Elephas maximus indicus: one gene and its partner. The protein of the gene in region 2 interacts with the protein of the main gene of each other region in a biochemical or structural test. Links are inferred from orthologs where the notes say so. Each region holds a gene or a part of one and is shown on either strand. Other genes may lie near its edges.

What was found.
Region 1: of the proteins of SRPK2 (region 2) and PRPF38A, one has a biochemical effect on the other in vitro, tested with the Homo sapiens proteins (2 studies listed by BioGRID and IntAct). The link is inferred for Elephas maximus indicus from reciprocal best matches to the Homo sapiens genes SRPK2 and PRPF38A.

What each region holds. Positions count from the first base shown.
Region 1 is NC_064821.1:95,523,648-95,531,701, reverse strand, and holds the start of PRPF38A (pre-mRNA-splicing factor 38A), read right to left. Parts: upstream 3,018-8,054; 5' UTR 2,958-3,017; coding exon 2,828-2,957; intron 1,122-2,827; coding exon 962-1,121; intron 1-961. UniProt on the Homo sapiens protein: Involved in pre-mRNA splicing as a component of the spliceosome.
Region 2 is NC_064826.1:44,370,988-44,379,046, forward strand, and holds the start of SRPK2 (SRSF protein kinase 2), read left to right. Parts: upstream 1-4,990; 5' UTR 4,991-5,667; coding exon 5,668-5,763; intron 5,764-6,028; coding exon 6,029-6,143; intron 6,144-8,059. UniProt on the Homo sapiens protein: Serine/arginine-rich protein-specific kinase which specifically phosphorylates its substrates at serine residues located in regions rich in arginine/serine dipeptides, known as RS domains and is involved in the phosphorylation of SR splicing factors and the regulation of splicing.

The DNA of each region.
Region 1 (8,054 bases), on a different chromosome or scaffold from region 2:
CTAGCTGTTTGGCCTTGGGTATATTACTTAAACTCTCTGTGCCTCAGTTTCCTCATCTGTAAAATAGGGATAACATTTATTGACAGGGCTGTTGTGAGGGCTAAATGAATTATTATTATATGTTGTGAGGGTAAAAGCCCTTAGAGGATGGCATGTAATAAGCTATGATTTCTGTCTCATATAGTAGTCTGTAAGCTCCTTGATGATGAATGATAAACAATTACAGCAGCTGACATTTCCTGGGTGTTTATCCCGTAAGAGATGCTGTGTTGAGTGGTTTACATGCATTATCTTCTTTAAAATCAATCTTACAAGTAGGTATTGTTATCCGAATTTTACAGATAAAGAAAATAAAACCAAAACCAAACCAAACCCAGTGCTGTCGAGTCGATTCCGACTCATAGCGACCCCATAGGACAGAGTAGAACTGCCCCATAGAGTTTTCAAGGAGCGCCTGGCAGATTCGAACTGCTGACCCTTTGGTTAGCAGCCGTAGCACTTAACCACTACGCCACCAGGGTTTCCAAAGAAAATAAAGCTTAGAAAATTACGTCAACTTCTTTGAGGTCACAGTTAATTAGAGATAAAGTCTAGATAAAAATTCAGACCTGTCTAACACCATGGTTTTCTCTCTTATCTACCATACTATGTTGTTTTCTTCACCCTAAAGTATCCAGTGCCTACCAACACATTAGATCCTCACTGCTGCTTAATGTATGTTCAGTGAATTGGTAAAGAAATCCTCTTTTTTGGGGGAGAAGTTACCAAGATTAAGAAAGTAAAGGAGAATATCAATTCAATCAGAACAGGCAAAACACAAACCCAAGGACTCAAGAGCAAAACCCTGGAGCGGAAGTCTCTGTGGAAATGAGAGATACTATGTTCATTCCTCTTAACCAAAGTCCAATTCTGGGATGTCCAAAACGATGCTTTTGTATTAGCCAGTCAACATCACACTCACTTGAAATCTTCATTTTTGATAAACTCTACAATGATATCCTTCTCGGGTTGAATCTGCAGCATCTTCAAGGTCAAACACAGAAAGGGAGTTGGCTTTATGTTGCCGCCATAAACGCCACCCACAAACCTTAACTCCATGGCTTTATCAACTACAAGTTCAGCTAAAAAAAGAAAAACAAAAACAAATCAAGTGCCATCTCAGATACTTCAGGGTTAAGCTTATCCTGGTGTGAAGTGGAAAGAAGTCAGTTCACGTGTTGGTGCTCCAGAACACTCACCAACAGTTTAGTATTAGGAGAGCAAGTGCATATTAATAACAATAATAACACCAAAACCAAACTAAACCTGGTGCCGCTGAGTCAATTCCGACTCATAGCGATTCTACAGAACAGAGCAGAACTGCCCCACAGGGTTTCCAAGGAGCAGCTGGTGGCTTCTAACTGCTGACTTTTTGGTTAGCAGCCATAGCTGTTAACCACTGTGCCACCAGAGCTCCATAAAAATAACAATAGTAGCATCTAATTGAGGGCTTACTATATGCCCAGTGCTCTGCTAAGCATTTCATATTATCTCATTTAATCTTCACAGCAAACCATGACCTAAGTTCTAGCATTGTTCTCTACTTTTAGATAAGGAAACTCAGGCCTAAGAAAGGTTAAGTGACTTGCTCCAGGCCCAGAGCCAAAAAGTTACAGGGCCTGGATTTAAATCTAAGCGGTCTAACTTCAGAGTCCACGCTCATCACCATCATGCTAGGGAAAAAATTGCTGGATTAAAAATTAAAAAAAAAAAAAAAACTCAATAGCTACACAACCTCGAGTAAGTCTCTCCCACAGAATGGCAATAATAACCTCCCAACACTGTTGCCAATACTCAAACAATAGCGGTGTGATCTTAGGCCAGTCATTTTATCTCTCTTTGAGTCTGTCAGCTCAACTGGGTTGTAGTGAGGATTGAATGCGATAATATACATAAAACGCTAAGTACCTACGTGAGGCAGCTCAGCTCCTAACAAAAAGACCGATTTTTCTGAAAAGCATAACCACTTCCCTTCCCAACAGAGCCCTAGTGGCGCAGTGGTTAACCAAAAGGTTTAACGGTTCAAACCCAGCAGCCGTTCGGCAGGCCAAAGATGTGACAGTCTGCTTCCATAAAATTTACAGCCTTGGAAACGCTATGGGGCAGTTCTACTCTGTCCTAGGGTCGCTATGAGTCAGAATTGACTGGATGGCAGTGGGTTTTTTTCCTTCCCAACGCTAGGTTAGGTTCCCTTGTCGTACATTTCTATTGCGTTCTGCTGCTTCTTTCAAACTACTCATCATACTTTCGTTTTTCATACTTCCTGCCTTGCTAAGTTATAAACTCATTAATAGTATTGACTGTGTCTGTCTTGTTCATCCATATACCTGTATCTCTAGTACTCAGCACAGTGCCTAGCTATAAATTGTTTAGCTATAATGCTGAATATATTAATACAGAATTTATCCTAAAGAACTTGCAGTCTGATTTCTTAAGCGATAGCTCGTTAATGGTTAAAAAAAAAAAAAAAAAAAAGCTCCGTGGCCGTCAAGTCGATTCTGACTCATAACAACCCTATAGGGCAGAGTAGAACTGCCCCTCATAGGGTTTCCTAGGCTGAAATCTTTACGGAGCAGATCGCCAGATCTTTTCTCCCGCTGAGCGGCTGATGGGTTCGAACTTGTCGCTTAACCATTGCTCCACCAGGGCTCCTTTTCATGACACACTCCTCTCCAATCCTACCCACCAACACTGAGCCAGTCTTGCCCCCAGGGGCCAATCCCATTCAGCGCCCAGCCAGGGGGGGTGGGCCACAAGCAGCCGAGGCGGTGCGCGCGCTCCCGCTCACCTGTAAGTCCAAAACATTCCTCTTTCCAGTACTTGGACTCATAAATTCGCGTCCGAATGATCTTCTCCACAAGATATTGAGGGTTGGTGCCGTGGATGCTGTGTGCATCCTTCACCGTACGGTTCGCCATCTTAGAAAGCCTTCAGCTCTATTTCCGTCGGGTCCTTTAATACGTCACATCCAGGTTAAAAAAAAAAAAAAAAAAACTCGATGGGGATGGAAAAATCACTAACTCTCCGAGGCGACCATTTTGAAACCGGAAACTCTGATGTGGAAGGAACTAACTTCCGTGAACAGAAACCCCGCCCAAACCAATGATGGCTGCTGCACGTCGGCAGACGTACGTCATGCGTCCAATCTACGTAGGCGGGACGGGAGAGCTGGTTGGTGTCGTAACACGGAGACAGCCTGGGGGCGGGACTACGTCGTTTGGCGCGAAATTCTCTTTTCTCCACCTTCTTCTTGCCGTCCTTAGCGAGGCATCGGCTTTGCCGGTGGCGTTCGGCTTGGTCGCGATCCTCGTGGCTGTAAGAGGAGGCGTCCAGCTGGGGCAATTTAGAGTTGCTGCAGCACCAGGAGCTCCTGAAGCGGAGGCGGGGGGAAGCAGAGGGCTTGCGCCCAGCCTGAGGAAGCTTCGGTCTCCGGGTGAGTCTGCGGGCTGGAGGCAGACCTGAGCCGCTAGAACTGAGGGTGTTCTCTACAGACTCACATATTCACTAATTCATTCAGCAGACATTTACTAAGCCCCCGTTAAGTGCCAGGCACCTTTCTAACCCCGGCAAAAGGCGTCTTTTTCCCCATCCCAACTCCTAAAATGCTTCCTGCTGCGCCAGGGACTGAGAATTGGCACTGGGGAAGCCGGAAGCCTACAGCAGCGCCCTCGGACTCTCAGCAATGCTCGGAACTGTTCCTTCCGTCTATGTTGCCCCTTGTGATGCACTCGCATCTGTTTCCTGCTTTGAGCCTCAGTGTTGCACTACAGGGAAGGCGGAACAGCAAAAGTTATTACCCCATTTTATGGATGTAGCGATTTTGCCCAGACAAAAACATTTTTAAGTCTGGGTCGCTTTTAGTACCCAGGTCTTTTCTGGATTAGTTGCTCTTTACTGCTGGGCTCTAATTCACATTTTTTTTTTCCAGAAGAAAATTTTAATGGCGCTTTTCCCAATTATTCTAGGCTGATCCCGGAATAGAGGGCAAAACGCGTCAGCTGGAAAAAAAGCATTGTTTTCTTCTGGGCTACTATCTGTGAAACGCAGTGATTGGATATGTTAATTTTATCTTGTCTGTAAAAAAATGACCTTTGTTTGTTTTGTTGGGTGCTTGTGAGTGCCAGTGGAGGTTTTGGATGTGCGAGCATAGTTAGCCAAACCCCTCTGCAACAGCTTTTAACTGTAACAGAGGACAGTATTGGGACTTTAAAAGGTTTATGAATCCCCTTAAATGGAATGCAAAATTTTGTGTTAACTGTATGTGAGTTCTGTAACACTCATGATATTATTAAAACAAAAAAAAAAACCATTGCCTCTTACAAATAAATGGAAGGGGGATTAAGGGAGTGGGGGAGTGAATTTATCATTATGCATTTCACTTAATCTTCAACAATCGTAGAATAGTTCCTGGCACACAGTGGGTGTTTAAAAATTTATCCTCATTTTGTGGGTAAAGAAATTGAGATTCAGTTGGCCACTCGATGGGTTAGGAAACCTAACTTATTATAATAAACATACCAAAAGTGAGCTCTCATTGGCATGTGTTATTGACATTATCCAGTTTCTCAGTAAGGAGAAGTGGTTAAGAGCATAGTCACTGGAATCTGGATGTTCAGAGTGTCAGTTAAGGCTCTGTCATTCTGTATAACATTGGATACCTTGGAAGTGATAATAGCAGCTACCTTTCATTCAGCAAATATTTATTATTGAGCACCAACAGTGCACTTACTGTGTACCAGCATTGTTCTAGGGTTATTGTGAGGATTAAATGAGATAAATGTGTCAAGAGCTTTGGCCCAGCCTTCTGTCATATTGGTGAAATAAATATCTGCTATCATTGTTTTTTGGAGCCCTGGTGGCACAGTGGTTAAGAGCTTGGCTGCTAAACAAAAGGTGGGTAGTTCAAATCCACCAGCTGCTCCTTGGAAACCCTATGGGGCAGTTCTACTTTGTCCTAAAGTGGAGAGTTATAGAAAAAAAGGGAGACCCCTCGAGGAGATGGATTGACACAATGGCTGCAACAGTGAGCTTAAGCATAGCAACGATTGTCAGATGGCACAGGACTGGCAGTGCTTCGTTCTGTTGTGCAGAGGGTTGCTATGAGTTAGATCTGACTCAACGGGGCAATGGGTTTGGTTTTAGGTATCATTGTTTTTACTGCAACTCAATGATCTGTTTTTCTTGGGTGTGGCCTCTGGACTGAGTGGTGTGTGTCTTCCAGATTTCCAGTATCTGTGACATCCAGAGCCTGTAGTGGGTTATCTTATAGAAGCCAAAGCCTTTTGCATGGCCAAGTCAGGCCTGTCTTCCTATTCCATCCACCATCCCTCTTGGGGAATGTCTGTGCTGAGATGAAATGCTGGATTGGTCTAAGAGTGGGGTACAAGAGGCTCTGATTTCCTTATGCTGCTTCTTCAGAAGAACTACTAACGTTTGAGCTTTTCACTGAAGAATAAGGTATATTCGGGGAAGTGCACAAATCATAAATGTAGAGGGTAATGTATTTTCTCAAAGAGAATATACCCACGGATCCAACATCCAGATCAAGCAACGACATTACCAGCATCCCAGAAGTCGCCTTGCCATGTCTCCTTTCAGTTACCTAGGTTATCCTCTCTTCTCACTTCTAACAACACAGATGACTTTTGTCTGTTTTTGTGCTTTACGTAAACAAAACCAATATAGTTTGTATTCTTTTCGTGTCTTATTTCTTAAGCTCAACTATATTTCCCGAGGTTTCCCCCACATAGTTGCATGGAGTTGTAGTTGCTTCAATTTCATGGCTGTATAATGCTGCTAGGAATATTCTTGTCTATGCCTTTTGATGATATGTGTGTATTCTTGTTGGGTATATCCCTTGGAATGGAACAGCTGAATCGCAGGTGATGCGTATGTTCAGCTTTAGTAGATGCTGCTAGTTTCCAAAGTGATTGTACCAATACCCACTTCTTCCAGCAGGGCATGAGAGTTCCGGCTGCTCTATGTCCTTCATTCCTGATGCTTGGCCTCCTGATGATTTTAAAAACCAGTTCATTTCATTCAGTCAGTCTTTTACCTACTACGTGCCAGGTCCTGACCTAGGCCCTGGGAATGCAGTCATGACTTAAGATAGGGTCTCTGCTCCTTTGGAAGTTACATTCTAATGTGGGAAGCAGAGAAAATAGCATAATGGTTATTGCTTTGATGAAAAGTAAAATAAGGTTGTATAATGGAACATGATCCCCGGGGGATAGCATAAAGAGGGGCAGTGCGTAACATTCGATCGGGTGTCAGCAAAGACCTCTCTGAGGAAGTGACATTGGAGCTGAAACTTGAGCCATCCCTGCAAAGACGTGTAGGAAGAGATGATAGCAACTGCAGAAATCTGAGAGGAGTAACAACCTTGGTCTTTTTGAGGTTTGGAAAGGAGGCCTGAAGCTGAGTGACAGGCAGAGGTGGAGGCAGGTTCTACAGTCCAGTTAGCCTCCCTTCGTCACCTGCTCAGCCTAGGGACAATCACCCACCCTTTCACACATACACCCATATACTGGCTGGTCTCATTGCACACAGCCCATGGTCTACTAGAAAATGAATATTGCCTTAGTTTTTGGAAGAGGACACCTGCTGTGGTAAACTGCAATATAACCTGGATTTAAAACAGTTGAGAACATGAATTTGAGTACTTTATAAGTATGGAGGAAACCCTGGTGGTGTAGTGGTTAAGTGCTACAGCTGCTAACCAAAGGGTCAGCAGTTCAAATCCGCCAGGTGTTCCTTGGAAACTCTATGGGGCAGTTGTACTCTGTCCTATAGGGTCGCTATGAGTCGGAATCGACTCAACAGCACTGGGGTTTTTTTTTTTTTTTTTGGTATAGGTATGGAGACAAGCTTTCTGTATGCCCGTTTGTTGGTTTGAAATAAGATCACTGTGACAGTGAAATCAGACTGTCCTACAATTAGATTATTTAAGAATTGTAGAAAGTTTGCTGGGAAATACTAATTTGCTACAAAACACTCTCCGATTTTCCCATTTTAACGAGAGATCTTAGTGGGTACTGCAATTTACTTGAATCGTTTGTGTCTCGTAGCATATTTGGCTTGATTTCACTGTGGAAAAGGTGAAGAGTTCCAGTTTACTTCTGATCGTTCCATGTTACATGATCCATTAAACCAAACCCATTGCCGTTGAGTCGATTCCAACTCATAGTGACCCTATAAGTTATGTATTTCCTTGAACAATTATTCAGATTCAAGTACTTTTACTAATTGTTACCAAAAGATTATTGGATATTATGCATCCAAATTCATTTGTTACTTGAGCACAAGTATTCTGTTTTTACTCATCAATCTGTTATTTCTACAGTGTACTTAATTAAAATTAGCTTGGTTTTAATAGAAGTGTGTTGTAATTATACTGTACATAAATGTACATAATAACAATCGTTCATACATCTTCTGTGAGTCAAGGTTCTCAAAAATAATGTGAGACATAATGCCACTGAACTTTAGGAAACCAGCTTGTTTAGTTAGGATGTTGATAGGCTGTTCTAACTCTGTCGTTTTCAACACAGACTGGTGTTAATGGACTTTCTATAGGAATTCAGAATAATTCTTTGAGTTTTTTTTTTCAACCCCAGTTTTGCCAGATTTTAGCTCCATAAGAAAAACACTGAATTCAGAGGAAAGGTTTTTTGTTTTTTGTTTTTTTTTAGTTATTTAAGCTTAAGATAATGGGCCAGAATTATTATTAGATCTAGTAGATTTCAGTTTCCAAATTATAAAGATGATTATCCGATAGGTTTTCATTCACGTTTCTGTTTTTAACACTAAAAATGTCCTTTTTTCCATATACTTTAATGCAAGTATTTCGTTTCAGCTGTTTACAATACTCATATCCAGGACCTGTCAGCTGCAAAGGAAAATACTGTCCAACTGCCAGAGCAGTACAGGTTAGTGACCCTGATTTTTTTTTTTTTTAATATAAGTGGGAAGATACACTTGATAAAATCCATTGTCATTCTCCCAAAAGCAGCTTA
Region 2 (8,059 bases):
TGTGTAAGATAAAGACACATGGGCCAAGGACAAAATGTCTATGACATATGGAATGAAATTTTCATGAAAATACCTATGAGCTGTTGGGTTAGTTACTCAGTCTATGCCTTAGTTCCTGAAACTATAATGTTTGGGAAAATGGTACAGATTTTGAAAAATTGTTAATGTAAGTGAAGTGTTTTGCAGTGCTTTGTTATGTGCATTTATTAAATATTAGCTTCTTTGCATTCATTTTCCCCTTATTTCCAGCCAGGGTTAATTTACTGGCCCCTTAGGGGGGTGGTTGTGAAATTTCATTTGGTGTAGTACAACTGTTTTTCTTCTTTTGAGCCATTTATTAGTGTAACGCTGAAGTGATGGTGGTGGTAATACTCATGAAAAACCAATATAGTATGTCAACAGTTAAGATAGATGTATTTAAAAATGTATAAACCGTAAATGTGTAATTATTTTATTTAGATATATGGGTTAAAATGATCCAAAATTAAAGGAGGAAAATACTTGTTCCTGTGGGAAATAGCCTTATGGAGCTCCAGAATCTATGTCTGGGATTTTCTGGCTCTCTCTTGTCTCTTACCTTTTTGAAAGTTCTCTGGAATCCTGTGCCATCTTACCTCTTTAACTGAAAGCAAGGATGTGATTTTTATCTTTTTTCCCCTTATTCCCAGCATGTATACCTATGAAATAATAAAACTTTACCTATATCTGTATGTATTGGGATTTACCCATATTCAGTGTAATCGTTCCTGTAGCTGATGTTTGTATAGCAGTATTTAAGTTTGTTTTGTAATTTTACGTATTTATATTCATCACTTCGTGCCCTCCAAGTTGCAAGCCCTAAAAGAACAGGATCCTTTTTGTTGAAGAGATTTTGTTGAATACAATAGTCTCATCTGCTGGCATACAGCAGTTGAGGGCTCAGACCCTAGGCATAGACTACCTGGGTTCAGATCCCTGCTCTGCCATACTACCTCTGTGACCCATGGTAAGTTACTTAGCCTTTCTGTGCCTCAGTTTTCCTGTTTGTAAAATGAGGGTAATGATAATATTTCTCTTGCATGGTTATGGGAGGATTAAGAGAGTTATTATATGTAAAGCAAACAGAAGAGTGCTTGACACATAACTGGTAGAAAATAATAAAATGTTAGTTATTACTGTTATTGTTGCTATTTATTACTAGTATATTATTAATCTTCAGGCATTATTTCATGCTTAAAATGTTGTTTTCAAGTGACTAGAAGCTAGCGACTCAGTGTACAGCTAAAGATGATAAAGACGAAGAGTGTGTACTCTGGGATACTGATTCAAGGTCACTTGATAAAACAGACCTAAGACTTTTTGTATTCTTGATGTGTTTATGGTCCTGTACGCTGACTTCTGTTTATTAAAATGCAGAACTAGTTTGGATTTCATGTTCATGTAATTGGTAGGGAACCTTGTAGACCGTAAAACAAGAATAAAATAGACTTGGTCTATTTTGCTGAAGTGTCTGTGGTACTTCATAACATTTGCAAAGCAACAAAGCCTTGGAAGTAGACTTTACTATTGCTGCTGTGAGAAAGATTTTTTATAGAAATAAGCGACGAACTGAGGCTTGAGGTGAGAATTTTAGGATTTACAAATGAGAAAAGTGATAATTGGCAAAGTTCCTGAGGGGTACTGTGTGGGCGTACAGACACAAAATGAATTATGGTGAATCGACAAGCCTTATAAAAAGCTCCATGAAAAGTTTAATGTTTTTCTCCCACTATCACATAAAATTTTTAAAATTTGCTTTTAGATCTCATTTACCTATTGAATCTCTTATTTTAGTTTTGACTGTAGAGCTGATTATATTTTTACTAAATAAAACCAAGACTTTTTTGTGTGATATATAAGATGCTGTAGGAACAGGTCCCTGCCAGTATCTCTGGTTCATTTGCTATCAGTGTTCACCTCACTATTGTCACCTACCACATTGACTTAGATGGCCCACATGAATGATTCTCAGTAGCTTCGCTTGTGCAGTTTTTCTGCTTGGAATGGACTCCAGCTTACTTTCTTCACCTGGCAGGTCCTCCATAACCTACATAACCAAGCCCAAATGCCTCTGACCACTCCCTGCTCCGGACAGATAGGTCATTTCCTCCTTGCAGTCTCTGTAGCACAGCTAGCTATGGAGCTAGGCTTTGGAGTTAGAAGAATGCCTGGATTCTCATCTTGGTTCTTTTACTTGCTAGCTCTGAATTTTTTTTTTTTTTGAGATAAAATTCACATAACATAAACATCGACATTTTAAAGTGTACAATCCAGTGGTTTTGAGTATATTTACATGTTGTGGAACCATCCAAAACCACATTTTCTCCCGTGGAGTGGATGATGGGTTCATACCACCAAGCTATCAGTTAACAGCTGAACACTTAAATACTGTGCTACCAGGGATCCTTCGTACAGCTATCATGCCTATCTAATTCCATAGTATTTCCATTACCCTTAAAAGAAACCCTGTACCTATTAACAGATACTCCCCAGTCTCCCCTCTCCCATCCCTGGTCAACCCCTAATCTGCCTTCTGTCTCTGTCAATTTTGTGTTTGTATCGAAATGTATTCTGGATGTTTCATATAAATAGAATTGTACAATATGTGATCTTTTGTGTCTGGCATCTTTCATTTAGCATAATGCTTTCAGGGTTTATCCATTTGGTAGCATGTATCAGTATTCCATTCCTTTTCATGTATGGATATTCCACATTTTGTTTATCCATTCATTGGTTGATAGACACCCCCCCCTTTTTGGCAGTTATGAATAATGCTGTTGTGAATATTAATGTAAAGGTATTTATGTGAACATCTGTTTTCAGTCTCTTGGGTATTACACCTATGAGTGTAATTGCTGGGTCATAAGGTAATTCTATGAGTAAGTTTTTGAGGAGGTAGCATACTGTTTTCTGCCGTGGTCATACCATTTCTCATTCCCATCAGCAGTGCCTGAAGGTTCCAACGCTTTTTATTGTCTGTATTTTTTTATTATAGTCATCATCCTAGAGGGTGGTTGGCTGCTAACCAAAAGGTCTGCAGTTTGAATCTGCCATCTGCTCCTTAGAAACTCTATGGGGCAGTTGTACTCTGTCCTGTAAGGTTGCTATGAGTCAAAATTGACTGGACAGCAGCAAGTTTGGTTTTTGGTTTTAGTGGGAATGAAGTGGTATGTCATTGTGGTTTTGATTTGCATTTCTCTAACAACGAATGTTGTTGAACATCTTTTCATTTGTTGGCCATTTGTATATCCTGGAGAAATGCCTAGTCAAATCCTTTGCCTATTTTTAAACTGGATTGTTCTTTTTTTTTTTTTTATTGTTGAGTTGTAAGAGTTCTTTATATATGGATGCTATACCTTTATTAGATACCTGATTTGCAAATATTCTCTCCCATTCTGTTTTTACTTTCTTAATAATGTTCTTTGATGTACAAAATTTTTAATTTTGATGAAGTCCAATTTACTCCATATATTTTTTTAATCTTTTATTATTTATGCTTTGGTGCTATACCTAAGAAACCATTGCCTGATGCAAGATTATGAAGATTTACACCTATGTTTCCCTCTATAAGGATATTATAGTTTTAGCTTTTACTTAGTGATGGGGTTAATGTGTTTGACATGTGGCAAGGACATGAATTTTGGAGGCCATAAAGTAGAATGTCATGGATCGAATTGTGCCCTCCCAAAATATGTGTCAACTTGGCTAGGTCCTGATTTCCTGTATTGTGTGGTTGTCCTCCATTTTGTGATCTGATTATGCTCCATTTTATGTGTTGTAAATCCTGACTTCTGTATGTGAATGAGACAGGATTAGGTTTTGTTAATGAGATCCAATTATGCTTGTTATGTTAATGAAGCAGGATTAGGGTAGCATACATCACCCTTGCTTGAGTCACACCTTTCCTTTTACAAGAGATAAAAGGAGAGAGAATGGAGCAGAGAGGAGGGACCTGCCTACCACAAAGAAAGAAGAGCCCGTAGCGGAGTGCACCCTTTGGACCCGGGGTCCCTGTGCCAAGAACCTCCTAGACCCAGGAGAAGATTGATGCCAAGAAACATGGCGATCTCCAAGGAACACCAGGCCCACAGATGTTGAAAGGGGATGAGGACCTTTCCTCAGAGCAGACAGAGAGAAAGCGTTCCCCTAGAGCTGGTGCCCTGAATTGGGACTTCTATCCTCCTAAGCTGTGAGAGAATAAATTGCTGTTTGTTAAAGCCATCTACTTATGGTATTTCTGTTATAGAAGGACTAGATAACTAAGACTGTTCTTTAGGCCTTTGATCCATTTTTGGTTAATTTTTGTTTAGGTAGTTAAGTAAGTGTTCAGTTCATTCTTTTGCATGTGGATATCCAAGTTGTCCCAGCACCATTTGTTGAAGAGAGTATTCTTTCCCCATTGATTGGTCTTGGCACCCTTGTTGACATTAATCATAGATACAGGGGTTTATTTCTGAACTCTCAGTTCTAGTTCACTGATTTATATATCTGTCTTTATGCCAGTACCACACTGTCTTGATCACTCAAGCTTTTCGAAGTTGAGATGTGTGAGTCCTCTTTTTCTTTGTCAAGATTGTTTTGACTATTCAAGGCCCGTTACATTTCCTTATGAATTTTAGGGTTAGCTTGTTCATTTTTGCCAAAGTGGCTGTTGGAATTTTGATAGTGATTGCTTTGAATTTGTAAAGCAATTTGAGGAGTGCTGTCATCTTAACAATATTAAGTCTTCCAATTTATGAACACGGAGGCCTTTCCATTTATTTAGGCCTTTAATTTCTTTCAGCAATCTTTTGTAGTTTTCCATTTACAAGTTTTGTACTTCCTTGTTTAAATTTATTCCTAAGTATTTTATTTATTTGTTTTTGGTGTTACTGTAAATGGAATTGTTTAGCTCTCGAATCTTGAGCAAATTTCTTAAACTTTCTGGGCTTTAGTTTCCACATGTGTCAGATGGAAATTATCTTAAGTACCTACCTCTTCCCTTTGTTGTGAGAATTTAATTAGTTAATTCATATAAAGGATTAAATGAGCCTGACAGTTCAAGGTAAATGTTTAATATTAGGGATTTTAGCCTTATATATATTTGTAACCAGTCTCTTTGCCCCAACACCTGTTGGTGCTCAGGGAATATAGGAGGACGGTCAAGTTAAGGCTGTATCTCATCAATTTCAGTTCTTAAGGTTTGAAAATGTGTGTTGGGCATCAGGGAAACTTCCTCTTTTGCCTGCATATTTTGATAAGGCTTGTTTTCTTACACATGTAAGTAAGCCTTGCACAATAATTTTGCCACCTCCTAATATAGTGAAGTTTCCTTTTGAGATGTTCCCATGGGCCTTGGTTTATCAGAGGAGGAGGAAAACAGGCATTACCTTGGTGAACTAACAGTCCTTCATATATGAAAATTGTAAATGAAATTAAGTTGGCATAAGGTATGACCTGTGAGTCACAACATTAGAGACTCAAGCAGTTCCAGTTGGATATTAATATGTAGTATTTAAAGAATTATCTTTAAGTTAGGATTATGAAAATACTTCCATTCTCTCAGCATTACTCTCTGGTATAATTTCTAAAAGAGATATAGTAGAAAATTTTACAAATGATACTTGTTTTTTTAAATGTAGAACAGAGAAAACTTTGAAACTTGGCCTCATGCTGAACAGAGCATTGGGTCTCATCCTGAGTATAACAACTCACAGTCATCCAAGAACTTGTGTTACTTCTTCTGTCTTCCCCACCAGGCTCAGTGTAAGTAAGTGTCTTTGTTCTGTTTAGGGGCAGAATTAACTATTAATGATACTTCGCTGTGGTGAGAAATTTAGACTGTTTTTAGGGATCAGTTTCAATACATTTCATTGCTAATGAAGGGCCAAGATGGTGAGGCTAATAACATTAGGAATTTATTTAAACATTCGTATTTTCACACTGTAATACTTTTTTTGCATTTAGTTTCTGAAATAACAGATAACCCATATTGTGCAATGAATGTAAAGTTTTAATTTATTCTACACAGCACTTAGGCTGGGTGATCTGGGATGTTGGACTGCTGGTGTGGATGTGGCCTGAACAGCTTTCTCTTCCCCTCTCTGCCTTCTTGCTCACTGGCTTGCAGTCACACTTCTCTGAAGGTGGGTATTGCTAAGAATAGAGACCACAATTTCGGGGGAATTTGCTTGCTTTTCTTCGTAGAATTTGAAAGTCAACAGCAAACCTCTCATAGTAAACTAGTTTATTTCTTGGTTTACAAATTACATCCAGAATAACAATGAAAGACTTTTGACAGGAAAAAAAATATTTCCTCTAGTAAAATGGAGTTTCTGGTAAGTGGCAGCAGTGTCTCCAGTCTGAAACCACCTCCTTCACTTCCTTTAACCCCCTTCCCCCAGCCCCTGCCTCGTTGCAGAGTTTGGTGTGAACATACTGTAGTCCACTGGCACGTTATCATATTCAGGAACACAAGTAATCCTGTTTTGGAATTATTGTTGTTAGGTGTCAGCAAGTCATGGCAACTCATAGCGACCATAAGTGTTAACAGAATGAAACACCACCTGGTCCTGAACCATCTTCACAGTTGTTAAGCTTGACCTCATTGTTGCAACCACTGTGTCAGTCTATCTCGTTGAGGGTCTTCCTGTTTTTTGCTGGCTCTCTACTTCACCAAGCATGATTTTCTTCACCAGGGACTGGTCCCTCCTGATAATATGTCCAAAGTACTTGAGACGAAGCCTTGCCATCCTCGTGTCTAAGGAGTATTCTGGCTGTATTTCTTCCAAGACAGATTTGTTTGTTACTTCTGGCAGTCCATGGTATATTCAGTATTCTTTGCCAATATCATAATTCAAAGGCATCAGTTCTTCTTTGGTCTTCTTTATTCATTGTCCAGCTTTCGCATGCATATGAGGCAACTGAAAACACCATGGCTTGTGTCAGGTGCACCTTAGTCCTTAATGTGACATCTTTGCTTCTTAACACTTTGAAGAGGTCTTTTACAGCAGATTTTCCTAATGCGGTGTGAATGCATCTTTTGATTTTTTGACTGCTGCTTCCATAGGCATTGATTTGTGGATCCAAGTAAAATGAAATCTTTGACAACTGCAATATTTTCTCCGTTTATCATGTTGCTTATTGATTCATTTGTCAGAATTTTTTGTTTTCTTTGTGTTGATGTGTAATCCATACTGAAGGCTGCAGTCTTTGATCTTCATTGATAAGTACTTCAAGTCTGCCTCACTTTTAGCAAGCAAGGTTGTGTCATCTGCATATCGCAGTTTGTTAATGAGTCTTCTTCCAATCCCGGAGCTGCATTCTTCTTCATACAGTCTGGCTTCTCTGATTATTTGCTCAGCCTACAGATTGAATAAGTGTGGTGAAAGGATATAACCCTGATGCACACCTTTCCTTATTTTAAACCACGCAGTGTACCTTTGTTGTGTTCAAACAACTGCCTCTTGATCTGTGTACAGGTTCCACATGAGCGCAATCAAGTGTTCTGGAATTCCCATTCTTTGTAATGTTATCCATAAAGGCAACTGTTAAGGAATGGGGAGTAGAATTGGGATTATAACTTGAAAAATGAAATCAAATTTATGTAAGCTTATACATTTTATTTAACAAAACTTGTTATTAAATATGTACGGATTTTTAGAATGAATGAAAAAATATATCGTGTTGATTGTTTTTGGCATACCTTTTCATACTAAGTTACGTGATAACATGATTGGACATGGAGGGAATTTTTGCAAACTATTTAAGAGTTTTATTATTTTCCCTCTCTGTCTCTAATAATTGAACAGTTCTCATTCTTGTGACACTTAGCATATTATTGTCCTTGTTGATTTTTGTTTTTATTTACTAACCCTTCTAATACTTACTATAGCCTCATTTTTTTAGTATTTTTGCTTGGGATTCTAGCATTTCCTTTGTGTTTTCCATCAACTTTGTGAAATGTATCTTTTGCAGATTTTCAGTTTCACTTTGCTCAAGATTTGTATTTTGTTGGACTGAATGACTGTTAATGAGGGACTAACAGAGTTTGGTGGATGAG